Linked DNA regions of Schizosaccharomyces pombe. The gene in region 3 interacts genetically with the main gene of each other region. Each region holds a gene or a part of one and is shown on either strand. Other genes may lie near its edges.

The links.
Region 1: mutations in mrf1 (region 3) and mug28 together harm fitness more than expected from each alone (negative genetic interaction), as found in Schizosaccharomyces pombe (one large-scale study listed by BioGRID).
Region 2: mutations in mrf1 (region 3) and SPOM_SPCC1020.07 together harm fitness less than expected from each alone (positive genetic interaction), as found in Schizosaccharomyces pombe (one large-scale study listed by BioGRID).
Region 4: mutations in mrf1 (region 3) and cti6 together harm fitness more than expected from each alone (negative genetic interaction), as found in Schizosaccharomyces pombe (one large-scale study listed by BioGRID).

Annotation. Positions count from the first base shown.
Region 1 is NC_003424.3:1,649,382-1,653,481, reverse strand, and holds mug28 (RNA-binding protein Mug28, implicated in mRNA processing), read right to left. Parts: upstream 2,471-4,100; coding exon 2,341-2,470; exon of another isoform or gene 2,298-2,340; coding exon 2,141-2,297; exon of another isoform or gene 2,094-2,140; coding exon 1,406-2,093; exon of another isoform or gene 1,356-1,405; coding exon 501-1,355; downstream 1-500. Other genes in the region: mrp17 (mitochondrial 37S ribosomal protein bS6m), read left to right, coding at 1-126, 176-194; pls1 (phospholipid scramblase), read left to right, coding at 2,725-3,870. UniProt on the Schizosaccharomyces pombe protein: Has a role in sporulation.
Region 2 is NC_003421.2:769,775-773,877, forward strand, and holds SPOM_SPCC1020.07 (pseudouridine-5'-phosphatase), read right to left. Parts: upstream 2,190-4,103; 5' UTR 1,952-2,189; coding exon 1,919-1,951; exon of another isoform or gene 1,748-1,918; coding exon 1,705-1,747; exon of another isoform or gene 1,640-1,704; coding exon 1,577-1,639; intron 1,520-1,576; coding exon 948-1,519; 3' UTR 501-947; downstream 1-500. Other genes in the region: wybutosine biosynthesis protein Tyw1, read right to left, coding at 1-278; tal1 (transaldolase), read left to right, coding at 3,724-4,103.
Region 3 is NC_003424.3:568,225-572,382, forward strand, and holds mrf1 (peptide chain release factor), read left to right. Parts: upstream 1-1,943; 5' UTR 1,944-2,011; coding exon 2,012-2,182; exon of another isoform or gene 2,183-2,324; coding exon 2,325-2,423; exon of another isoform or gene 2,424-2,509; intron 2,510-2,528; exon of another isoform or gene 2,529-2,660; coding exon 2,661-3,581; 3' UTR 3,582-3,652; downstream 3,653-4,158. Other genes in the region: phospholipase D Pld1, read right to left, coding at 1-1,053; putatiRho-type GTPase-activating protein Rga8, read right to left, coding at 3,770-4,158.
Region 4 is NC_003423.3:512,138-516,455, reverse strand, and holds cti6 (Rpd3L histone deacetylase complex PHD finger subunit Cti6), read right to left. Parts: upstream 2,302-4,318; 5' UTR 2,241-2,301; coding exon 1,903-2,240; intron 1,733-1,902; coding exon 1,529-1,732; intron 1,485-1,528; coding exon 752-1,484; 3' UTR 503-751; downstream 1-502. Other genes in the region: rps29 (40S ribosomal protein uS14), read right to left, coding at 1-14; vacuolar amino acid transmembrane transporter Avt5, read left to right, coding at 3,990-4,318. UniProt on the Schizosaccharomyces pombe protein: Could be a component of the RPD3C(L) histone deacetylase complex (HDAC).

The DNA.
Region 1 (4,100 bases), 1.1 Mb from region 3:
TTACTCTTTTGGTCACTGGTGGTCTATGACCTTTTACAGTAACCCCACAGTTCAATCTGAGATACAGAGGATTCTGAGACTTGAACCTTCGGTTCTTCGCTATATGATCGTCAAAAAAGCAGATAAGTATGTTCTTTTTATAAACTATTTTATTATACTAATTCCTTTTGTGTAGATTGAGTGATTTAATGTAGAATGAGCGTATTCATATTTTGAGAAAATAAAAATATTCGCAGAGCTGTCCAATTATCTTTTATTATTCTTGTTTTTTTGGGGTTTTTTCTTCTTTTCTTCTTTTATAAAATAAACATACTTTTCCAGAGCTAAAATGTGAAATTTCAACCGTTGTTAACGACTCCTTGTGTTTCAACTTTTTCCGATCTTCTTTGTATAATACTATGTCCCTAAATTTCATGGGAGATAGATTAAAAAAAAGAACTGTTAAAATATTTAAACGACAGGTACTGATATTATGTCCTTTAGACATATCTTGCTTTTATTTATTGGTTTAATACAATGTTGGTTAAAGGCGATAGTGAAGTTTTGAATGTGGAGTGTTTTATGCCGAATTTATGGCTTGGGTTTAGGTTTTCGTTTGAAATCACCGCTTCACGTAGCTTAGCGGCACATGAATCTAAACGAGTTGGTAATGTTTGTCTAGGATCGCTATACCCGTGCTGCTGTATAGATTGTATTAGAGGTTGAGGCCATTCCTGATGATACTCTAAAATTTGTGGTTCAGTAGCCATTGGAATTGTTAGAGAGGGCGATGGAACAACTGGAGGGTAAGATTGGCTAAATATAGCACTCAGTCGCTTTTTGCGATCTTCTCTCTTTTCTGCATAATTCACGAATAATCTTTTCTTTCCGAATAACACTCCATTTAACGTGTTAATTGCTTGCACAGCTTCAAATGGATGACTGAAGGATACGAAACCATAGCCTTTGGATATTTCTGTACTGGGATACGACGCTAAAGTGCAAGATTTTATCCTTCCAAATTTCGAAAACAGTTCTTCTAATTGTTGTGTGTTTCCTACTATATTATCATCCAAGTTTTTAACAAATAAATTACAAGGATCAATTGTCGGTGTTGAGGTTGGTGTTGGCGTTACTGTCGTTTCATACGATGTTTGGAAAGAAGGGAATGAAATAAATGGATTTGGCAAAGCAGAAGTTTTGGCAATCACTGGAATTTCAAACGGCTGAGGCATTTCCATATTTGGGGGCAATAAATTTGTCATGGTTCCTTCTGGGTGATTTAACAAATTAGAGCAAAATCCCTGAACAGGTTGTTTTATAAAAAGTTGTAAAATGGATCCTTCATACGCAATGGCGTGAAATTTTTCAATGATCTAAATTAAAAGGTCAGTAATGCTATAGCAAAAAATAGCTTGCTTAATACCTCTATGCAACTTTCATAGGTGCTCACAGCCACTTCTGCGTAGTGAGTCATATCTTCATTTATGCTTTGATTGATGGCTACACCGAGAATGTGACCATGATTGCTAAACTCATTGTAAAGCTCGACTGGTGATACTTTCAACGGAAGGTTTAAAATCCCAATCACAAAAATAGAAGGGTTGTCGTACAAAAATTGGGGATTCTGTTCTAGAAGCATACCTGGCATCATTTGACAGGGTTCAAAAGCAGATTTTAGGTGTAAATGTTCCGTGTTATTTTCCTTATATGGCTCAATAAAAGTGTTAGAAATGGACGGTGTATTATTATCTTTGCAATTTGGCCTGATAGACAGATGCTTTGGCTCATTCTCCGTGAAATCTGAAACTAAGAGTGTTTGAACTGCTTTTGAGCTAAGTATACTAGTTCCTGTTGCTTCTGCAAATGCATTCTCTTTGTCGTGCACTTTTGGGGGGTTTGATTGAACTAAATTTGAGGTATTCATCGAATATTCCTTTTTGTCTTTGGTACTAACTCGAACCTCTGATACTGTCGGTCGTGTTTCCTTTGTATACTTTTCTATTTTTGAAAACCGAATTTTTGCTTTTTCATTATTCGAGTGATGAATTTGGTCAACTCCATTTTCCAACTTATTTTTGTATCTCTCCACGATATGCGTATACTCGACCTTCCTATAATTGTTGCTCTATTAGCGTTTATTATTTTAAAATCTACGTACAAAGTATTTCCTTGGAACGAACTCCCGTTTAAGGAGGCAATTGCGTTGTCAGCGCTACATTTGTTTTCAAATGTGATAAATGCAAATAAAGTTGGGGATTTAGAGTCAGTACTCTTATTCTTCTTTCTACTTAGCATGTGGAATTTTGAGAAATTACCTTAAACAGTTAGAGAAAAAATTGTTTATTCATATACGATTACCGAAAGGTTCAAACAGTTCATGAAGATCTGAGCTTTGGCACGTTGAAGGTAAATTCCCTACGTAAATGGAAATTTCACACTTCTTAGTGCTCCTTTTGTTCTTTTCTGAAAGTTTTTCAAGTGCAATCATTGTGATGTGTCTAGTTGGTAATTATAGAATTCGGAATTCTCAATGTAAACAAAAGTAAACAGGAAATTACCGCAATGTTAGCTGTTCATAAGCAATTTAATGTAGTATCCTATATTTCGTAAAGCTTTAAGGTAATCGCATAGTATGTGCTATTTTAAATTGTGAAACTTACTACACAGCCTTTATTACATATTTGTCTCAGCAACCCTCTGTGGTATAGGTGAACCACAAACTAATTTTAATTTCTCAAACCTATGCTTGAAATTCTATGGGCTAACATTACTCCAATTCAAACCTTTGTCTCCAGTAATCATTTAACTATGCTTTATGGGCTCAAACGGTTTGGATGTCGCCTTTATCATCATAGCAAATCTACACGATACATTGACGCTACAGCGAAAGTAGTCTCTCAAGAGCCTGCTGCCATTAGCAGTACTGGAGCTATTCCATTAAATTCTCCAGCGGCCCCTTTATTATCACAAGATGTTCTTATAGTAGAGAGGCAACTTGAAATGATGAATGTTTTTCTTGGTTATGAACAGGCTAACCGCTATGTAATTCTTAACCAACAAGGTCAGCATCTTGGATACATTGCAGAACAGGGTGCCTCATCCATATTATCAAGTTTATCAAGACAATTTTTCCACACACATCGTGCGTTTAAGGCAGATGTAATGGACAGTAACGGCCAGTTGGTGTTACAACTCAATCGACCATTTTCTTGGATAAACTCCCGGTTACAAATTCATTCTATTGATTACAGTAAGTTCTCGTCTACTTTAGTTGGCGAAGTCCTTCAAAAATGGCATTTATGGCGCCGTCGCTATGAATTGTTCCTTGCGAAGCGTTCTATGTTTGAACAGTTTGCCAAAATTGATGAGCGAGTGCTAAGTTGGGAGTTTCTGTTGCGAAACGAGCAGGATCGCATCCTAGGTAGTGTTTCACGGAATTTCATGGGGCTTCCTCGTGAATTTTTTACTGATACTGGTAATTACGTTCTTCGATTTACCTCTACGAGTGCAGCCAATGGTTCTGTAAATGAAAATCAATTGCTTCAAGCTGCTCATGGAATCGCTAATGATGTTTGTGCACGTGATATGAGTTTAGAAGAAAGGGCAGTTATGCTAGGCAGTGCTGTCACTATTGATTTTGATTATTTTAGCCGTATTCATGGTGGCCCAGCACTGGGACTGAATATTCCGTTTATGTTTGGAGGTTCTTCCTCCAACCACGATTATCCAGCTGAAGACCTGTCTGCTCAGGAAATTTTAAAAAACGACCAGGAAACTACGCCTTCCACCAATGATTCTTCATCTGAAACGAAGTCTCCTTTTTTGTCTGATGCAGACTTGGATCAGCAAGATTTTTGGGATATTTTTGACCGTGACGGGGATGATTGATTGTTCAACTGATTATTATTTATTTATTAACGATATATCCAAAAAGATACTTTTTCTCCTTAAAAAGTTAAATCTGATTAGTCATTACTATTACTGTTTTTATTATTATTATTATTATTACTATCCCTTCTAGTCATTATTTTGTTTTTCTCATAATTTACAACTACTGACTATATCACTGAATTTATTTCTTCAAAAGAGTTTGTTGAAGACGGCTTGTATTTGTGTAA
Region 2 (4,103 bases), on a different chromosome or scaffold from region 3:
ACACAAAGAGGAGAGTTTTTCCAATCAATAGTATCATTTTGTTTACGAATGGAAGAGGATGGCGAACCGATCTTTCCCCTTTTGCCAACCCGCTTAAACCTTTTAACTTCTCTCTGTTTCTTTACCTCATCTTTTTTCTCGCTTGATTTATCTGAATTGGACAATTGGGTTTTTCGTCGAATCAGAAAATGGATCAGTACAGGCAGCAGCAAGACTATGTACAATACAGCCCGGTATTCTTCCCAATGCTCCCCGATGTACCCCAAAGAATACCCCATGGCAATGATTTACCACTGGAATTTAGCAAAGAAATAGTATCCTTGGTGGTTGGAAAAAGGATTCTTTGAGGTGTGGCATATGGAAAAGACACAGGCAAATTTCACCAATAAGCGCCAACAGAACTAAGTCCAGCTAGAGAGTACTAAAATGAAGGATGAACTTTTAAATTAATTTAAAATTTTTACTTATTTGTTTATTTTATGATTAATTTTACCTTATTAATATATAAGTGCTTTCATCTAAATGATGGAGTGCTGGCCAAAAAGGTACTTTTTGTAAAAGTCAACATTCTTGAAAATCAAACTATAAGAAAAGCAATATCTCTTAAAATACCTCATGTGTAGTAACATTTAGAAAAATTGCTAGATAGCTAGTGTTAGACGTAGTGAAAATGATACTTGGAGATGAGACACTTTCAAACGATTGAAGAAAGAATCAAGGATGAGGGCTTTGTAATGATTGTTATTTGTGAAAAGTATTCAAAAAAGATTTGGAATGTTTGATGAGAGTTCATTTTTAAAGATTTTACGACATGGGAATATATCAGTAAAACGAAGAATAAAAAGTAAATAATGCAGCTAGCATGCTGCGTCTTAAATAAAGAGCAAAAAAAAAGATATAAAGCAAAAGCGATAAATGAAGAAAGTAAGAGAAAGAAACCAATTCAACTATACCTTTGTAACATCGAAATTCTCCAAGCTTAGCACCTTTGTTATATGCTTGTCCGCAGCTTGTTCTGGAGAAAGAGAAAAAAAGGGAAGAATATTGACATCAGGAACCCACACAACTTTCATGCCTGCCGCCCGGCCTGATTGAACTCCTGTAATGGAATCTTCAAAAACCAAGCAGTTCTCTGGCAGGATTTCTGCCTGGCCTTGAGCCTTGCGCTTGTCGTTGATCATCTTCAAAGCGATGAACCAAATATCTGGGTGAGGTTTGCCTCTACCGACGGGTAATCGAGGGTCATCTCCAGTGATAATGTTTCCATCAAAATGATCAAACAAATGACTCAAATGAGCGGACTTCTTTTCAAAGTTGTGTGTGTCACTGGAAGTGGCTAGTGCTATAGGAATGTTTAGTGATTTCAACTTACTTAACAAATTCATAACGCCAGGTAAAGGCTTTGTATGCCTCCATAGTTCAGCTTGAGTTTCACGTTGTAATGCTATGTATTCTTCGCAGGTCAAATCAATACCCGACCAATCCAAAAAGATTCTGCTGGCCTCCTTTGAAGTTCGGCCTAAAGCATGAATGATTAGAAGGTTGAAAAAAACAACAACAGCTCAAAGCCACTTACCCATCATCTTAGCCTTGACTTCCATGGAGAAGGGGCCTTTGTTATAGCGCTTTAAAATGATATCTAGACGCACCGTTAGCCTAACCAATACCTTTGAACAGAAAGGGAAAAGGAAGAGTAAAACTTACTAGTGCTTTTTGTGTAGATTGACTCTGTATCGACCAACAAGCCCTGTATTCGTTAGATAGAAGGACACTTTATCGCTTTTCAAGTAGTATGCTTTAAGGAATCATCAGGCTAAGCACTTTTAAGTAGAATGAAAAACAAATAAACGATAATAAATATTGTATTTGTTGATCATGGACGCCGTAAATGATCCATATTATTTTACTATGTACGTACGTCCATATCGAAAAGACACGCCTCAGGAATCATCTTTAAAGTAAAGTAAGGGTTTTAATAAAAAGAATGTCTTTGTTTTTCTACGATGAAGAAAGATATTGTTGAAAGGATATATACTATTCGTAACAGAATGAAACCAATTTCGATCAGTATACGGACGAAAGCAGCAATGGGAATGAGATGAATATACGATAACTTATCAAATAATTCAAGTTTAGACAATCACAGTCGTCCTTAATAAATTCTGCTAGAAGTAGTCAAACGTGGAGTTGACAAGTTGCAAGACGAGCCATTGTTTAGGCAAAGGTGAGAAATAGAATATTTGTGGCATTAGGAAAGCTTTTGGACTTGCAAATAGAATTGCTTGAAAATAATGAGTGTAAAGAGAGGTAAAGTTGGCGAATTTGTTGAGTCAGGGATTGAACTTGATTCATCTAAATGATAATGTTATGGTAAGATAAAAAGAAACTAGAAAAAAATAGAAGAAAGTTTATAAAGTGCAATGACATTGAATTTACTCGACTCTCTTCCTATTACACGACAAGCTCAGTTTATGGATGTTTATTTGTCTACAAACAATTCATTCACGTGTGACTTTGAACTTGACCGGAAACATGTTACAGAAGGTGGTTTGAAAGTAAAATTGATACGGGAATGGGTGTCTTATTGAAAAACTACAAAGCTGTACTCGATGACTATGGAATGTCATCAGGTGGATATACAGATAGCTCTTTTTAAATGTCGAGTGAGATATCGGTGGTTTATTTTGAAGAAAATTACTTAAAAAGTGATTAAAGTAATAATAAGTAATGAAAGTCAAATAAAAGGCCTTACGATTATCTGCTCGTCAACTATGGGTATACAGGTGTATCTCACACTATGCTTGAAGATTTCGCTGACGATTATATAGACAATGTCCATAAACAGGTTAAAACCAAGCCTTTTTAATTACGAACTTGACCATTTCTGAAGACTGTAGATACCTTAGAAGCTAATCTCATTTGTATTACTGTAAGAGGCAATTCGAATCGACAAGAGTGTAGGTAGAAGAGTATACCTATCCAAAGAGTATCAGATGCTTTTACCAATTTAAGAGTTTTCCATGGATATGTATTCAATTTTAGGTCCAACTATTTAACACTTGTGCGAACATCGATCATGTCCGATGCAGCAACTTGCTGCTGTCATGTCGCTCAAACCAAACAAAAGAAATGTGCCAATTAACAAAATATTTCCAATACTATACTTGTAACGTTCTAGCATTAATACATACCTTAAGGCACTACTTGCAATCAGCCCAGTCATGTCAATCTCTTCAATATCTTGTTCGGGATCCCGCTTGCGACCAGCGCATTATTTTTCTTAGATTACTGACATTATATATTTCAATTTGGAACAAAAAAACAATCTGATTTCGACCATTTTTTAAAATTTTTCTTTTTCATAAATTTTTTCGACTTTTCCTATACTTTCGATGGTGAAGAATGCATTGAGCACAGTCTGCAGCTTCCATTTTTTTCTTCTGAAATTTTATAGTAAAATCGAAAGTTTTTCATCTGCTTAAGCAATCAATTAAATCTAGACAAACATTGCTAAGTTCTCCGCAAATTCAAAGAAACTTTGGCTGACGTACCTAAAATGCTTAAGTGGAAGTTTCCACGCTACACACAACTTAACCAGAACCTATATCCTTAGGAACACCAAGAAACTCAGAAAAGGTATGTTTGTAGTGTTTTTTAGGAAAAACGAAGTTATTTGTCTGGAAAAAGTATTTACTAACGAGTTTTTGAGGTAGTTTTATCAAAATGTCTTCATTGGAACAATTAAAGGCCACTGGCACTGTTGTCGTCTCCGATACTGGAGATTTTGAATCGATCGCCAAATACAAACCCCAAGATGCCACCACAAACCCTTCTCTCATCTTGGCCGCTTCTAAGAAGCCCCAATATGCTGCTCTCGTCGACGCTGCTGTTGACTATGCCAAGGCAAAGGGTGGTTCCATCAACTCTCAAATTGAGATTGCTTTTGATCGTCTTTTGATCGAATTCGGTACCAAGATCCTCGCTATCGTCCCTGGCCGTGTCTCCACCGAAGTTGATGCTCGTTACTCTTTTGACACCCAAACTACTATCGAGAAGGCTCGTCACCTCATCAAGTTGTACGAAGCCGAGGGCATTGGTCGTGA
Region 3 (4,158 bases):
AGTATTACCTTGAATGGTCCAAAAATTTCCGTGTTTTTTTCTACCATTATTGGCATGCCTTGGTTGACCAGTCGTCCGATCACCATCTTGCGAATGTGACTCCCATGATATGTCAGAAATGCTATGTGTTTCATCAATAAGTTGGTCACTGGGATTGGAATACAGTATTTTTTGATAACCCCGGAGTTTCACCAAGTAAGGGAGCACTTCTTTTGGAAATTTAGGCAATTTCATGCGTCTTCCGGAAAATCGATGTTGAAATTCAAAAAAAAGAAAGTGTGAATGAAGATTTATGAAATCGCGCAACTGTCTGTAAATCAACCAACGGATAGCATGTGGCCCAGTACCATATTCAACTTGAATTGTGAAAGTACTGTGTATGCGATTATGTTTAGGCTCCACATCAAGCACTGAGACCTTTATTAGGTCGGTAATAATAGGCAATACCGGCTGCCCAGATTTATCTCGAATAAAATGCTTGGCTATAGGTAAAGATGCAGGTATGCCTGCTTCGAAAAGATTAATAGCAGGCAAGTTCTCCTTTAATATAGGCTTTTCATCTTCCCTTTTAAATTTGCGAACAGAAGCCATTAATTGTGCCCACATTTGTCTGGCAGAATTACGGTTTGCCTTACTTGTATGGGCAGCAGCTGCATCACGTTCGTCTCTCTCTAAAGGAGGAACTTCAACGTTCTCATCCTCCATTGTCTGTGTGATAAATTCTGGAGTTTGCACTCTTGTACTATCATTCGCAGCAAGATCGTTAACGTTTTCAGAGGCTGTATGCCAAGAAGACCCCCGGGTGTGTTCCAAATCGGGCCGTTTTGGAGGATTTAAATTAACAAATTCAGAGTAGTTTTTTGGATCATTCTCAGGAAACGATGGAATAGAATGGTCGACGTTTTTTTCAAGATCTGTAATTTTGGATGGTGTGTGATCTTCTGCATCTTTCCGTCCTGTCCCCTTTTCAGAGTAGATGCTATCATTTACATTTGTGTTTAACGAATAAGGTACATTATCAATCACTGAATTTCCACCTTGATGAATTGTCATTTTGTTATTAAATTAGCAATTGGCTAAAGTTTTTTTGAGACTCAGGGAAATCCAAGTCCCTATGGAGAAAAGCCAATGCTTTATAAATGAGTAAAAGCCAAGAGGGCTTTATTGAACAAATCCCAAAAACAGTTTAAGTGGTTTGGTAAAGCTTAGCTGCGCATTTCAAAATGAATAATACACCATCATGAAAGCTTGGTTAAAGTTTCGTTTAACTGCGCTAGCATAAATAAGGAAACTTTATGAACAATACAAATGTTTATTTACATCGCTATTGTGTAGTTTAATGGTATTTGTCCAATGGATATCGATGCTTCCTACAACCAAATTATTTTTTCTTGAAGAGTTCGTCTCCCTTTTATTGTAATCGTCGAGCAAGAGTTTGTTCAGCTCAACTTACATTAGCTTATCAAAATTAACAATACATATCTCTACTAGTTGTCAGCTATTCCTCACTAAATTATTATTGCACTATGTTAAATACCACTATATTGATTTACGTTTCCACTTTCAAAGTCGTTAATACAGCAAAAAGCTACACAAATGCCCTACATGAGACTTAGATATTTGCGTATTATGCTATTATAAACAATGTGCCTACGTTCCTCAATTCCCTGATTATTATACTATGCAGCATAGTTATTGCTAGCCAAATTAATTATAACTGTATTCGTGGCGACTCTACTCATAAAATAATAGCAAACTCTTTCTAGGTGTATAGATTCGTAAAAAAAATTTACGAGTTAAGAATGCGTACACAAAATTTTACTTTGCTGTGCACTGTCGGATTATAATGCATATCCGACAGAATTTGCAAGGACCTCCTTAAATATCATAAAAGTACTTATCGAAGAAGCACACCAAGGTCAGAAAGGCGGTTTTAACAGGTTAACACTAATTAGTTTTACTGCTAATTCTTTGAGTATGCAGAAATAAAAGAAACTCAAAATACAAGGTGATGCTTCTAACTAAAAAAGTTTTATGGTACTTTAGACATGGAATTGAATATCAAATTCGTAGCATTGCTTGCAAAAAAGGATACTCTGAGCATAACGTTTCAAGAGTACTTATTGAAAAAGCCCGATCGCTTTCTTCAGAGTATCTTCAATTCCATCAAGTAAATAATAAAGTAAGTGTCGGCAAACAAAGTGTGAAATCAGCCTGCTACTGTTCGAGATACAATAATAATGGTAATACAAGCATACCGGACATTAAGCTTTACTCATGAAAAATTAAAATCTGATATAAATGATCTAACTTATATCTTTTAGGATCAATCGGCAATGACAAACGATACAGATTTAGCAAAGCGAATCGCTAGGCTTCGACGCGTTCATAATGCATATTCGAAATTTAAAAGTTTGTCTGAGGTATGATATAAGACGAATTTGTCTCAAACTTGTAGTCAAAAGCTTTCCTTTTTTTTATTACTCTTCCTATTTATAGTAATCGATTTACAATGGTTTTTTTTTGCTAATGGGTCTATAACTTAAGACTTTTGCCAGGCATTTACTGTTTATCTAAGTAAAGCTATTTGATGAGCATGTTGAAATACTTAAATAACTAGTTTTTGAAAACCTTGATTTAAAAAAATTCTAACAATTTAGCAAATAAGCGATTTGAAACAAATGGAGGCCCAAGAGTCAGATGCAGAGGTTAAAATGATGGCAGTGACTGAAATAAACGAAATAAGTAATAAAATACCAAAAAGCATAGAAGATCTTGAAAACACATTACTTCCACAAGCTGATTCATATGCTCTTCCTGCATTAATCGAAATTCGTCCTGGTGTAGGAGGAACAGAGGCCGCAATATTTGCAAATGAACTAGTGGAAATGTATTTTCAGTATGCAAATTTTAAAGGATGGAATTGCAAATTTATATCAAAAAGTGCAGTCCAAGGACTTGAAGCGATAACGGAGGCCATCTTCTCTATTGAAGGTGAGGGAGCTTATGGTCATCTTATGTTGGAAGGAGGTGTTCATAGGGTTCAGAGGACTCCTGCTACCGAAACTAAAGGAAGAGTTCATACGAGTACTGCATCAGTAATCGTTTTACCTCAGGTGTCAAATGATGAATCCTCTTCTCTTTACGATTCATCTGAAGTTAAAATCGAAGTAATGAGATCTCGTGGAGCCGGTGGACAACACGTTAATAGAACAGAATCCGCCGTACGTTTAACACACATACCCACTGGTATCACTGTTAGCATGCAAGATTCTCGTTCTCAGCATCAAAACAAAGAAAAGGCATTTCTTGTACTGAATTCAAGATTGGCTGCCTTAAATGCCGCAAAAGAAAATGAGGCTGAAAGACTGAAACGTAAAAATCAAGTAACGTCTTCAGATCGTTCGGAAAAGCTACGAACTTATAACTTCAACCAAAATCGAGTAACTGATCATCGGATAGGTTTAAGCATGCACGATTTATCAACATTTATGCAAGGTGAAGAAAAATTTGACGAGTTTTTGGAAAAAATAAGAATATGGAATCGTGAACAGTTGCTATTACACTCTGAAATAGTATAGGAATGCTAATTTAGTCTAGTAAAATAGGAAGGTACAATAATATATGGTGGTCAAACTTCTATAGAGAAAAATGTTTATTAGGTATATGCAATGAATAATGAGAAAAGAATGTGCAACATGTCATGCAAATAAGATATCCATAACTGATCTTTAAAAAAGATCATAGGTTAACTCATAATAACATATTTTTAACTACCACTTAAACTGGAATCTCTTGAGGCGACTGCTTCGTTCACTATCTTTGCATCCTGATCAATAAAGATTGCGGCACTTTCATTGGAAGCAGAAGAATGGCTGAAATTACGTCTTGTCTTTCTAGTATTCAAGGCATACGACGATCTGATCAATGAGGTGGGCACATTTTCAAGAGTAAATTCAGATTCAGCGGGAATTTCTGAAGGTTGCAGCTCCTCAAACGAAGATCTTGGAGATTCGACAGCAGTATGAGATCGGACAGAAGAAATGGAGTCTGGTCTAGTTGGTGATACATCTGTACTCCGAGGAGTAGCAGAAGATTGATATAATACACGGTCAGAAACACGTTTGGATGAATTCAATTTTCTGAGTTCTTCAAAAA
Region 4 (4,318 bases), on a different chromosome or scaffold from region 3:
TTTTCGTGGGCCATTTTGGTGTGAAGGTAGAGATTGTTTCAAGCGTTTCTTCTACTAGACGAAAGTCGTGACTGCTCTTCTAGGCATAGGGTAGGGCTAATATAGAGAAATACAATGCATTTCGTTATTTGACATTGTGCTCAACAATGTAAATAAAGTATGTATAGTACTATTTTTTAAGTAGAAATTGTTTTCATTAGACACTTAGTTAAAATATTTGTTCAATTGATGGAATAATCAGGATTTATTTTTTTCCTCTCCAGTACCAAGCCTTATATAACATTATATTGTAGCTGGTTTAATAGGCACTTAATGAAAGATGGATTTTCCTTCAGAAAGTAGTTATTGTGGTGTTTTCTACGTTTGATTTTTTTTTTTTTTTTTAGTTTCAAAACCTCTTGTATTTATTAAATTAGTGAGTACTTTTGAACGTTTTTACTCATTCACTTGGAAATCGGTGTACTCGAAAAACATAGCTCATTTCAAAAAATATACAAAAGTTTAACCTGTAAATAATAATAAATTATATTTCTTCAATTAACCAAACAAAAATTATATCCCTCTCATCAAAGGAACTCTAAATCTTTATCAAAATATCTATCATAAATCAACAAAGGAAACCATTAGATCATAAAAAAGTAAAAATATATGTATGTTGACATGTTCAATTGAACACATCTTTCTCCTTTTTTCTTCCTTTGCTTCTTTTTTTTAATATTACTGATGTAAATTCACACAGTACACAGCATCATCAAGTTCGACTGAATCGTTGTTCCCAATGCAATAAATCCCTGGTGAGATTGTCTACCATCCTAAGAGTTTCCTTCTCTTCTTCTGGGCCTTCTTTCGATGACTTTGTGGATGATTGATTACCAGCAGACTGAGCTGCCATTTCAACTTGAATATGTCCAATATACTCTAGCATAGAGGCAACTCTTCGCCGCATCTCAGTCATAGTGATTCTTGAGTGCAATCCCTTAGGCTTGGTTATGGTCTCTACGAACGTTCCATCCGGATGTAATTGAGGAATTCGGTGATTATCGTTCGAACTAGATTTTCCTCTTCTTCCTCCCACCTTTCTTGTTTTTGAAGGCTTCGGTGCGACAGCTGCTGGAAGATCCGCTTTGTCTTCTGCCGCTGCTTCACGTTTAGCTTTTCGCGTTGACCGAGTAGTGGTCGAAATAGAAGTAATGGTAGATTGTTGTGAGCTTTGAGGGGATGCTTCTCCAGACTCCTCTTTTACTGAGTGCTTTTCTTCATCAGCAATCTCCTCAACCGTATCTACAGTTTCTTCTTCAGGGGCATCCGTTTCAGCGACATTAGTAGTAGAGGTTTCTTTATTCTCTTCGTTTTCGTCCTTCGACTCCTTACTATCTTCTAAAATTTCATCATTCTCTTCTTCAATTTTTTGTTTTAAATTTATTTCGGTTCCTTGCGATTCATCTTGGGGAGCTGGTGGAGAAAGAGACTTCGATGAAGTTCGCCTAAAAACAGTTAGTATATCATCTATGAATATCAATGACCATACCCTCTAGATCTCCTCGGTATTAGTGACTTTTCCTTAGCAATTGCAAGATACTCTTCATAATCAAGAGCGGCGTCTCTGGAATTCATAGTAAGACGTTGCTTAGACGACTTTTTGGTTGCCGGAGATGGGGGAGTAGATGAAGATTCTTCTGTTTGACTGGCTTCTATAGGTTTTCCATTTCCAAGATACTTTGATTGTTTAGCCCTGCGGCGAAGTTAGTAACAATAGTTGAAAAACCCAATTTTTTTAATTGCTAGAAGAGAAAAAAGAATAAAATGGAGATATTTGGAAACCACTGCAATTAGTTTAAAGCATTAGGTATTCAGTGGTAAATCCATTTTAAATCCTTAAGCTCATCTGTTATCAACACTTACCCTCTGCCCCTTTGATATACTTTATGGAATTCTGGATGGCATATTTCGCAATAATATACCTCGGGAACTTCTGATTCATCAGCAAATCCCACACAGTTCCCATGTTGCCAAACTGAGCATTGATCGCACTGAATATACAGCCCCCCGTCACTAGCTTCATCGTCGGATTCGACAATTCCACAAACACAGCGGGTTACTTCTCCAGTACTCGATGTTTCATTCTCTTCATTATCGGAAACTGAGCCATTAGGCGTGTGGGGTGTGTCTACGGGAGATTTCTGAATTTTTTCAGACTCTTCCTCTTTTTCTTCATTAGCGGGAGTTGAATTACTCGGCATAATGTATAATAATCGTTTTATTAAAAAATTGTGCTGTGCGCTTGGGGAATGGTGAAGGATTGGAAGATAGGTAATACATTTACCAACTACAACATCAATGAAATATATCGCGAATTGCTGAAACTTCACGCTTTAAGTAATTAATGTATGGGAAATTTGTTTTTTTATATTCATTTAGTGATTGAATGTTTTTGGTCAAAGTCGTAATGGCACTTTGGTAATAGTTAAATAGTTGAATGGCAAAAACGTTGGATTCTAGGATTCAAGCCCAGAGGGAGACTGCCAATGCATTGAAATGATAGTTAATTAAAAAAAATTGATAAAAACCCAATTATCTTTGTAAACATAAACAGTTTAACACCTTTCATTTTTTTATAGGCCCATTTTGCCCGTTGATTTGCCCTTGACCATCGGAGAACCTGGTTTGTCTGGGAATGGTTATTTAAGTCTCCTAAAGCTTTAGCACTGTTGAATTAGATTAAGAAACTTATATGTTCATCTCAAACTTCATATAATTAAACGTATGGTTTGTTTGACCCACTTTTTATGCTATCTCTCTGTACTAATTATTATTGAAATGAGAATTGACTTGATTTGGGAATGCATATTATTATAAGCTGTATTATGAAGGTTGTGAAATCATTTCTGTAAGGTGCTGCTGCTTTTATAAATTAAAAGAGGTTTTGTAATATCGACATGATATTTGGTATTATCTCCATGTATTCGCATTTTACGATGTTCCTGCAATCTTTAGAATGGCGTATGTGCATATTTTGAAACTAAAAAACATCTTACATTTTAAAAAAGGCTTTTTCCTCGCAATGTCAGAAAAGCAACTGCTACTCGGTTCACCGGGAATTCATGAACAAAACAATGAAATTTGATTGTATTTTTCTTCGATACTATATTCAACTGACTAGATACTTATGAAATAAAATAAAAAACTATTTATATCCTTGTGATCAACGTTTGACAGTGAGAAATTGTTATAATTCTAAATTTTCTCTTTTTATTGAAATTTATTCGATGAAAAAATCAATTGTATGCTCTTCCACCACTTCGAATGCTCTATTGATATAAATATATGTCTATGAAAAATTCGTTTTATTTCTACAGAATTTACAAAATTCTCTAATTTACTGCTAATACTGTGTTCAAGTTGGTAAAATATTCGTGTGCCACAAATATCTATTTTGGTATAAATTTCTCATGTCACTCATTAATTGAGATGATAGTGATAAATATTAACAATTTTTTTAGTAATAGTAAGAAAAGAAATAATATTTCATTGCTTTTATATCTGCTGGCAAACCAGAGTAGAGCGATATCGCATCTGTATATCGTAATTTCATCTCTTTTAACAACCAAGAACGAGCATTCCACTCGTACAGCTGGGAAGGTGCTTTAATACATCGTGTACTATAATTTTTCCTATTATTTATCGGGCTTCTGAATAGATTCTACAATTTAATTTATCGAGCTGGTCTCTTTTTGTCTGCTGATTTCTATTCTACGATTTCTCAGGCGTTTTTTATTCCACGTTCTATTATTTGTTTAGAACCATTTTTTTTATATTGCATAGTTCTTATTTTCTTTTAAAATAACTTTCTTGAACGATTCTTCCAAAAAATCGATCAGTTTGCATACTCATACGCTTAGTACTTAATTGTAATTCGTAAAGTTGGTTCCTAAAAACACCAATTTTATAGCTTCCTAGATTTTTTCTCTATTCCTAGTTTGGGTTAATTTATGTCTGGGTATAGTCCTTTGTCTTCTGGACCAGCAGACGTCCATATTGGAAAAGCTGGGTTCTTTTCTTCGGTTATCAACCTTGCCAATACTATTTTGGGAGCTGGAATTCTTTCCTTACCAAATGCGTTTACCAAGACTGGTCTGTTGTTTGGGTGTTTGACCATCGTCTTTAGTGCATTCGCTTCTTTTTTAGGATTATATTTTGTTTCCCAATGCGCCGCACGACTCCCGAGGGGAAAGGCTTCATTTGCTGCTGTTGCCAAGCACACCTTTCCCTCTTTGGCTGTTGTCTTTGACGCTTCTATTGCTGTTAAATGCTTCGGTGT